Ovis aries: one gene and its partner. The protein of the gene in region 1 interacts with the protein of each later gene in a pairwise test. Links are inferred from orthologs where the notes say so. Each region holds a gene or a part of one and is shown in the gene's direction. Other genes may lie near its edges.

Evidence for each region.
Region 2: the proteins of BEND7 (region 1) and PPP1R37 interact in binary tests that used the Homo sapiens proteins (3 or more experiments, as listed by UniProt). The two-hybrid records come from large-scale screens. The link is inferred for Ovis aries from reciprocal best matches to the Homo sapiens genes BEND7 and PPP1R37.

Annotation. Positions count from the first base shown.
Region 1 is NC_056066.1:27,562,558-27,566,303, reverse strand, and holds the start of BEND7 (BEN domain-containing protein 7), read left to right. Parts: upstream 1-1,360; 5' UTR 1,361-1,504; intron 1,505-2,082; exon of another isoform or gene 2,083-2,355; 5' UTR 2,356-2,493; coding exon 2,494-2,554; intron 2,555-3,746.
Region 2 is NC_056067.1:52,552,425-52,556,170, forward strand, and holds the start of PPP1R37 (protein phosphatase 1 regulatory subunit 37), read left to right. Parts: upstream 1-1,319; 5' UTR 1,320-1,466; coding exon 1,467-1,668; intron 1,669-3,746. UniProt on the Homo sapiens protein: Inhibits phosphatase activity of protein phosphatase 1 (PP1) complexes.

The DNA of each region.
Region 1 (3,746 bases):
AAACAAAACAAAACAGTAGAAAACCAAATAGAGTAGTTGACCAATCCTTGTTATCACTTTAATCCTTTCTGCTACCTTTTAGAACTCCAAAAAATGTATACAATTTTGTTTGTCCTACACATATCTTCTAGGAAAAAGCCCTGAACTCTGAATATAATCTCCAAGGAGACTGAGCAAAAGATTAAAAACCTCTTATTTAAGGATTCATTTTAGGGAACAGAAGGAACACTCCTCTGTTTGTTTTTTGGGGCCCTGCTGCACTGGCATGCAGGATCATAGTTCCTTGACCAGGGATGGAACCTGAGCCTCCTGCAGTAAGTGCGGAGTCCTAACCACCCGACCACCAGGGAAGTCCCCTGAACTGTCCTTTTTCTCACTTTGAAACCAGCCTCCCCACTTATTACATATATACATACAGCCTAACATAAGACCTCAGAAGGTATACCAGGCTCTGCTTCTGCTGTTTGATGGGTTATCTGGTTCCTTGATTTCCTGGTGTGTATATGCTTACGCAGGTTGCCTCCAACTTACCTCTTTCTCTTAGGTGTTCCTGTTAAATAAGAGAGGATCCTGGGGCTTCCTTGGTATCTCCATGGTAAAGAATCTGCCTGCTAATACAGGAGACACGGGTTCCATCCCTGATACTGGAGGATCCCACATGCTGAGGAACAACTAAGTTTCACAACTACTGAGCCTGTGCTCTAAAACCTGGGAACTGAAACTATGGAGCCCTTGAGCTGGTGCTCCAGATCAAGAGAAGCCATTGCAAAGGGAAGCTTGAGCACCAAAACTAGAAAAAAACCTGCCCAGCAAGGAAGACCCAGTACTGCCAAAAATAAATAATACACAAAATTATAAAAAAAGAAAAAGAGTGAGTCCTGAGCAGCTGCCTCCTCATTTGCGTGAGACTGGCAGTGTTACCACATTTATCAACATATTCTCCCCCTTTATTTCCTCTCCACTCTTTTGAGGTCACTTGAACTAGTCACACTGCTGGTTCCGACGTCCATCTCTTTACTCTCTTTGTATTTGCGTCTAGAGATGACCAGTTTGGTGGCGGTACTTTTCAAGCTTATCCGATCACATTTCTGACCTGCCAGTCCCCGCTGGTATAGAATTCTCTTCCATCCCCACAATAAAGTTGTTTTGAAAAAGCAATGGGGTACTCTTAGCTCCCTAGAAAAGGATACAGTATAAAACTAACACAAGCTTTCCATTCCTGCGGATTATTCTGGCTTTAGCACACCCAATGGCAGAGCCCTCTGCACCTGCCTTGGCCATGTCTTCTCTAAGAGTCAGAAGAGAGGTGGGGCACCCACTGACGTCGCATTGCTCACCCTATCCACCCTCTCCAAGCCCCACATTCGAAGTTCTCTCCCTGAACTTAACTCCCAATCTTCCTACATCCCTCCTCGCATTGGAGTAAAGAACTGAAGCTCACTCTTTTCCATACTCGTCTGATCAGTAAATTCTAAAATCTCTTTTCCTTGCAGAGCTCAGATGGGTAAGTTTTTGGGTTTTGGTTGATTTTTCTTCCCCCCTAAAACTTGCCTGAAACCAGTGTCTGGCCCTCCGACACCCTGAATCTCATGGCGAGAGGAGTGGGCTGGCCAGAAGGGTCGCCGACACCCAGAGCCGTTGAGAACCAGATCGGCCCCGGGAAGATGCAGGCGAGCTCGGAGCCGGGAGCCAGGCTCCCCCGGGCAGCCGCAGCCCGACTCGCCGGCCCCCGAGGCACCGGCGTCGGGATCCCAGCGCCTGGCAGGGACGGCGGTCCCCGGGGGCGGGTGGGCCGGCCGGGCCGAGGGCGCAGCGCCGCGGCCTCTGGCTCCTCCTCCGGGCGCCGCGCGGCCAGGCCGGTGGGTGGCGGCTGCCCGGGCCCCGGGGGATGGCGGCGGCCGCGCTCCGCCAGCAGGTGGCCCCGGGGTCCCGGCGGCGCCGCCTCCTCCCGGCGCCCCTCCTCCCGCGGGGGCGGTCAGCGCCCCGACCCGGCTCGCACCCTGCCGCCGCCGCCGCCGCCGCCCTCGGCCCGCCCGCCGCGTCCCCGGGGCCGCGCTCGCCGCCGCCGCCGCGTCCGGAGCTGTACCCAGGCCGGCCCGCGGCGAGCGCCCAGGGCGCCGGCAGCCCCGGCCCGCCCTCCCCGCCCCCAACTCGCTCCCCAACGGAAAGTTCGGCTCCGGCGGCGTCTAGCCCGGCAGCCGGGGATGAGCCGGGGTCGGGGGGCGAGCTGAGCGGCGGCCAGGAGGGGGCAACTTCGCCCGGGAGAGCGCCTCCTGCCCGGCCCCGCCGGCCGCAGCCCCCGGGCGGGCTCGAGTGGTTTTTCCCTTGCTTGTGCCTCCCCCCTGCGGATCCAAGAGACGGACCTTGGTCCCCGCGCTCCCGCTGCCGGGTGACAAGAGCCAGCGCCGCCGCCGCCGCCTCGGCCGCCGCTCTCTCTGTCCCTCCGCCTGGCCGCCCCCGGCCGCAGCCCCTGCCCTGCCCGCCCGCCGCACCATGGAGTTCTCGGAGAGGAAGCGGAGCAGGAAATCCCAGAGCTTCAAACTGGTGAACCGAGGTAAGCGGGGCCGGGCCGGGCCGGGCGGGGGGCGTGCGGGCGGCCGAGGGAGGACTTGGCTGCCGCGTAAACAGCCCCCGGCCCGCGCTGCGGCCAACTCCGAGGGCCGGGGCTCCTGGTACACCCCCCCCAACCCCCCCGGGTCCCCTCCCCGAGTCGGGCTTCGGCCGCACACACACCGGGCGGCGAGGAAAGTTGTGCGGCTGGGGGTGAGGGGGGAGGCAGGATGTGATTCCGCGTAAACAAGTCGGAGGGCACATCAGGAAATTAGCAAACAATGACACTTGGGGAGCGGGGAGCCTTCTTTGGTATTCCTCTCCTGTGGCTTGGCGGCCGGGTGGGGGAGGACGCGTCTCCATGAGGCCGTGCGGACACCCACCCGGACCAATGGTCGTGGTGGTTTGGGGTTGGTTTGCTTTTTCCGCCCCCCTCCTACAAAAAGAAGGAGAAAAGGTGGTGGTGGCTGTTGTAAGACCGAGAAAGAAGCTCAGTAGGTGTCCAAGCCCAGAGAAGAATTGTTGACATGCAGCATCTTTCCCGGATATGTCATTTGGGCAGGAAAGATGTTTTCGAATAGATCACGTAACAGTCAGATAAGTTATCATTAAAAAGAAAAAAAAAACAAAAAAACAAAAAATCCAGCCGGTCCCTGACGATTTAACAGGTGTACACCGCGGTCTCTGGACTTCGGTTTATTTTATTAGGGGAGAGGAAAGTTGAATAGTCCTGCTTGTGTTCAGTGACTTGTTAAAGAGTCTTTATTTTTCCTGATTTGACTTTTCAAAAAACGATAATGTAAGGGCAGACAAAAAATTATGTCTATCAAAATGCATCGTGTCACCTTAAATTAGAGGCAGGTGACTTTTTCTCCCTGTCATGTCACAAGTCGCAATATTGAGTTTAGAATAATCCTGTTTAAGTGTCGTCTTTAAATCAGCTTGAAGTCAAAACCAAACCAGAGAACCTGTCCACTTTGTTCCTCTTTTGTAGTATCTAGCATTGGCATCAGACTAGAGAGCAAGGCGATTGTTTTAACAACCTGGAGAAGTCACATGTAAGCTGATGAAAATTAGAGGGCGATTGCAATTTCCAGCTAAGCTAACTATGGTGTAGATTCAATAAAGCCTGCTTTCAGTGAGTCTGAAACTGATTTTGATTATAGACATTTTGAAGATCTACTCCTATCTGTTAA
Region 2 (3,746 bases), on another chromosome or scaffold:
CATACCGGGGGTTGAACCATCCCCCCTGTAGGGGAAGCAGAGTCCTAACCATTGGACCTCCAGGGAATTCCCTCAGTAGATTGTTTTAAAAAGTAATTTCTGCCCCCTCTGTAGTCCCATGAGTTTAAGAATGTAAGTGAAGATTCCGTTCAATATAGATGTGATTTGCTTTGGTCATCTTCAGTGGTCAAGGTGCGGCAACCACTGAAGTTGAATGAGGCTTGTGCAGGGCCTCAGCTCCCATTTGTTCATTCACAACGCTACCTCTGGCGACTCCTGGGCCCAGATTTCGAGTTGCCTTAGCAACGACATCACTTGCTCCTCCCCAAGTCACCTTTTTTGGCTTTAGCTCCGCCCACCCAGGGTTGTGGTTGGGTTGGGATAGAGCGGAGAAAGTGCGGAGGCGAATAGTAAACGACTGAGTCAGCCCTTGTGGGGGCGTGGCTTGAGTTCGTGCTTGTTCGCTACTGGCTTCGAGATCTACCTGCTCCATCGCCGGGTATTTCGGTTGGAAGATTCGTCCCTTGCTTTCGGAATTTCTTCCTTCGTCCAGCTCTTTCTTTTCTTAAAAAAAAAAAAGCTAAACTAAGGCTAGAACACACCTATGGACTCACATTTCCGTTTTTAAGTTTATATAAAATACAATTTATACAAAAGAGCCCGACACGACTTACCGCCTGTATAACCACAACATCCAAAGAGGGTCATTGATGAAATTGCAGTCTGCAAATGGAAAGCTGGAGCCTAACCAGCAAATGGAGACAGGCTTTGTCTCCAGCCAGAGGTTCCCTCTGTCAGCATCCATCACCTGTACTCATATAATCAACACAACTCCTATAGCCTTTCAAGTTCTCCATCCCGTTATTTCTCTCCATATCAGTTGGCCTAGCCTCACCAAGCATATGTTTTTATTCCTATCACCTCCACTCCTTTCTCCGTTGCCTGAGCTCGTGACGAATGTGTGAGGGCCTGAATGTTAGTTATCTACTTTGAAGCGGGGAGGCGTGGGGCGGGGGAGCGGCTTAGGTTCGCGCTTGCGCGCTGCTCCGGGAGACGGCGTCTATCTCGCCCCGCCTCTCGTATTCTGCAGTTCCGGCTCTGCAGATTCACTACTCACGTTTCTTTTTCCCGTGGCTCTTTCTGCTTTTTGGTACCCGCTTTAACAACGCACGAGACAACTCTACCTGAAAATAACTTAAATTGATTTTCTGCTTTTTCGTGTATGCGGCGGGCTCACTGGTCCTTAACGAAAGTGCGGCTGCGAACGAGCAGACGCTCACGGGGCTCGGGGGAGGCGCGCTCGAGCTCCCGGCGGCGACGACTACGACGACCAGGAGAGGGGACGGAGTCGGCGCCTGAAGCAGTGGCTGAGCCCATGCCCCGGGACGGCGGGAGGGCCCGGAGAGACAAGTCCGGGGCCCGGGGCATGTCCCCAGGGCCCCCGTGAGGAGGCGGCGGCGGCGGCGATGGAGATCCCGCCGCAGGAGGCGCCGCCCGGGCCGGGCGCGGACGGCGAAGCCGAGGAGGCCCCCGCCAAGGCCCCGTCTCCCGGCCCCGCATCGCCCCCGGCCGACGGGCGCCTCAAGGCTGCGGCCAAGCGCGTTACGTTCCCTTCCGACGAAGATATCGTGTCCGGAGCTGTGGAACCCAAAGACCCCTGGAGACATGGTAGCCACGGCTGGAGCGCGGGGGCGGGCTGGTTGGGGACCTGGGAGTCGTGCGGCCACCAGTACAGAGGTGGAGCTCAATAAGTTGCCCCTAATAATGATTTAAGGAGACAGTCGTCCGTTTAGAGCTTGGAGGGTGTTAGAGAGGGAGTGGCTGTTGGGTTGGGAAGGTGAACATTAGCTGGTGTATGTTACTGCCTCTCTCCCCTCCCCAAGGGACGCTGCTGGTGATCGTTTGAGGAATTAAGACGGTGAGCAATCAAAGAAAGTTTAGTGGCTTGGGAGATTGATTAGGAGGGCAAGTAGCCTTTGAGTTCATAGTTTCCTCAGAGAAGGATAGAACAGTCAGGGGAGGAAGAGTGGGTCAACGTTGTCGCTGAAAGGGCAGTTGGAGGAGTTTGATGGGCCCATGGGGACAGAAGGAGGTTACAGTTGTCGGTCTGCAAGCCTCGGGGCTGGGGATGGTCACGTGACTCAACTTCCTTGGCTGAAAGGAGGACAGGGAGTAAACTTGGAGCCTGGCGGTAGAGGAGTCAGTCAGTCCTGGGACTGGGAAAGGGAGGCAAGGTAAACAAACTTGCAAGAAAAAGGAGCTAGTTGGTGGTCAGTTTGAGGCTGGTTGAGATAGTCCAGGGAGGTGTTCGATCTTGGCATTAGGAAGAAAAATCACCGTGCGCCTCCTCTTCCTCTCCTCCCCTACTCCCCCCCCCCCCCCAAAAAAAAAGGGAAGCAGAACATTGTCAGTCATTCAGGAGCAGAGGAACTTTGGAGCCTGGCTCTGGGAGGGCTATCCTTGTTTTGTTTCCTCTGGCCCTGTCCCGCCTGCCCCGAGAAAGCCTTGGAGTTGCTGGCGGTGGAAGGTGAGAGCGCTGGAGAAGTTTGATGGCTTGAGGTGTGGTGGGGAGAGAGCGACTGCATAGGTTAAAAGTTCTCTAGAGAAGGTCAGCTCTGTGTGGGAACTGAAAGAGCAGTTGGAGGAGTGTGTTTTATCTGTAGGGCTGGGAAGGTGGAAAGTGGCTCCAGAGATGGATGGCAGGGTTGAGTCCTGGACAGGTCTGGGACTCTTGCAGGGATGGAGCCGAAGACGAGAGGGATCGGCCTGGACCCTGGTCTATAGAAGTTGGTCTGTGGGCCCTGGGAGAGCGGTAGAAATGTTGCTGCTCTGTGGGCAGTGGAGAAAGCAGTGGCTTTGATGTGAGGGTGGGAAGCGTGGGAGCTGAAAGCTGAACACACGAGGAGCGGCCGTGAATGCCATCTTGGCCTGTTAGTGTTTTGTTTGTTTTGTCTTTTGGCTGCATGGTGTGGAATACGGGATCTTAGTTTCCCGACCATGGATCAAACCCCGGGCCCAGTGCTGTGGAAGCACAGTCCTAACCACTGGACCTCCAGGTAATTCCCCAGCCAGTTATTGCTCAAGAGACAGTGGTTAATTTAAAATTCTTGGCCTTGGGAGCCAGCCAAGTCCCTGGGCTCTCGGCCTTCAAGATAGGTTAGGTTGGAGGGCTTGGGGAACTAGGGCTGAGGAAGGGAAGAGGGAACAGGCCCCAGATACGGCATCCGGTCCAGGGAGCTCAGAGCAGGAGGGTAAGAACTGGAGAGGCAGAGCGGGATGGTGGCTAGCCTGGGCTCCAGCTCAATCCTGAGTCCCATTTACCCAAAGCATGACCTCAGGCTGGGTTCCTAACTCCTCAGAGCCTCGATGTCCCACCTGTAAGTGGGTGAGAGTAGCCATGCCACGGGGTTTCAGAGAAGACTGAATAAGGTTGTGTGTGGAAAGTGGTCGGCCAGGGTGGGCCTTCATGAGGCTGCAGTTATCGTTGGTCATTTTAGGGGTGACGTTAGGTGCTACTGGTCGTTTTAGGGGCTAGCCTGGATGAGTTGGTTCGTGGAGTTGGGGGCGGGGGCCGTGCTTCACAACCTTCCAGTCGGTTGGTGGGCTTGGGCCCGGGGGAAGGGGAGATGTTCCGTCTGTGGGCCGGAGCACAGTGGCGGCCGCAGCAGTTGGTGAGTCCGGGCCGGGGGCGGGGTGTGAGTAGGGGAACGTTTCTGGCCCGCGGGTTCCCAGAAGAGCAACAGCTG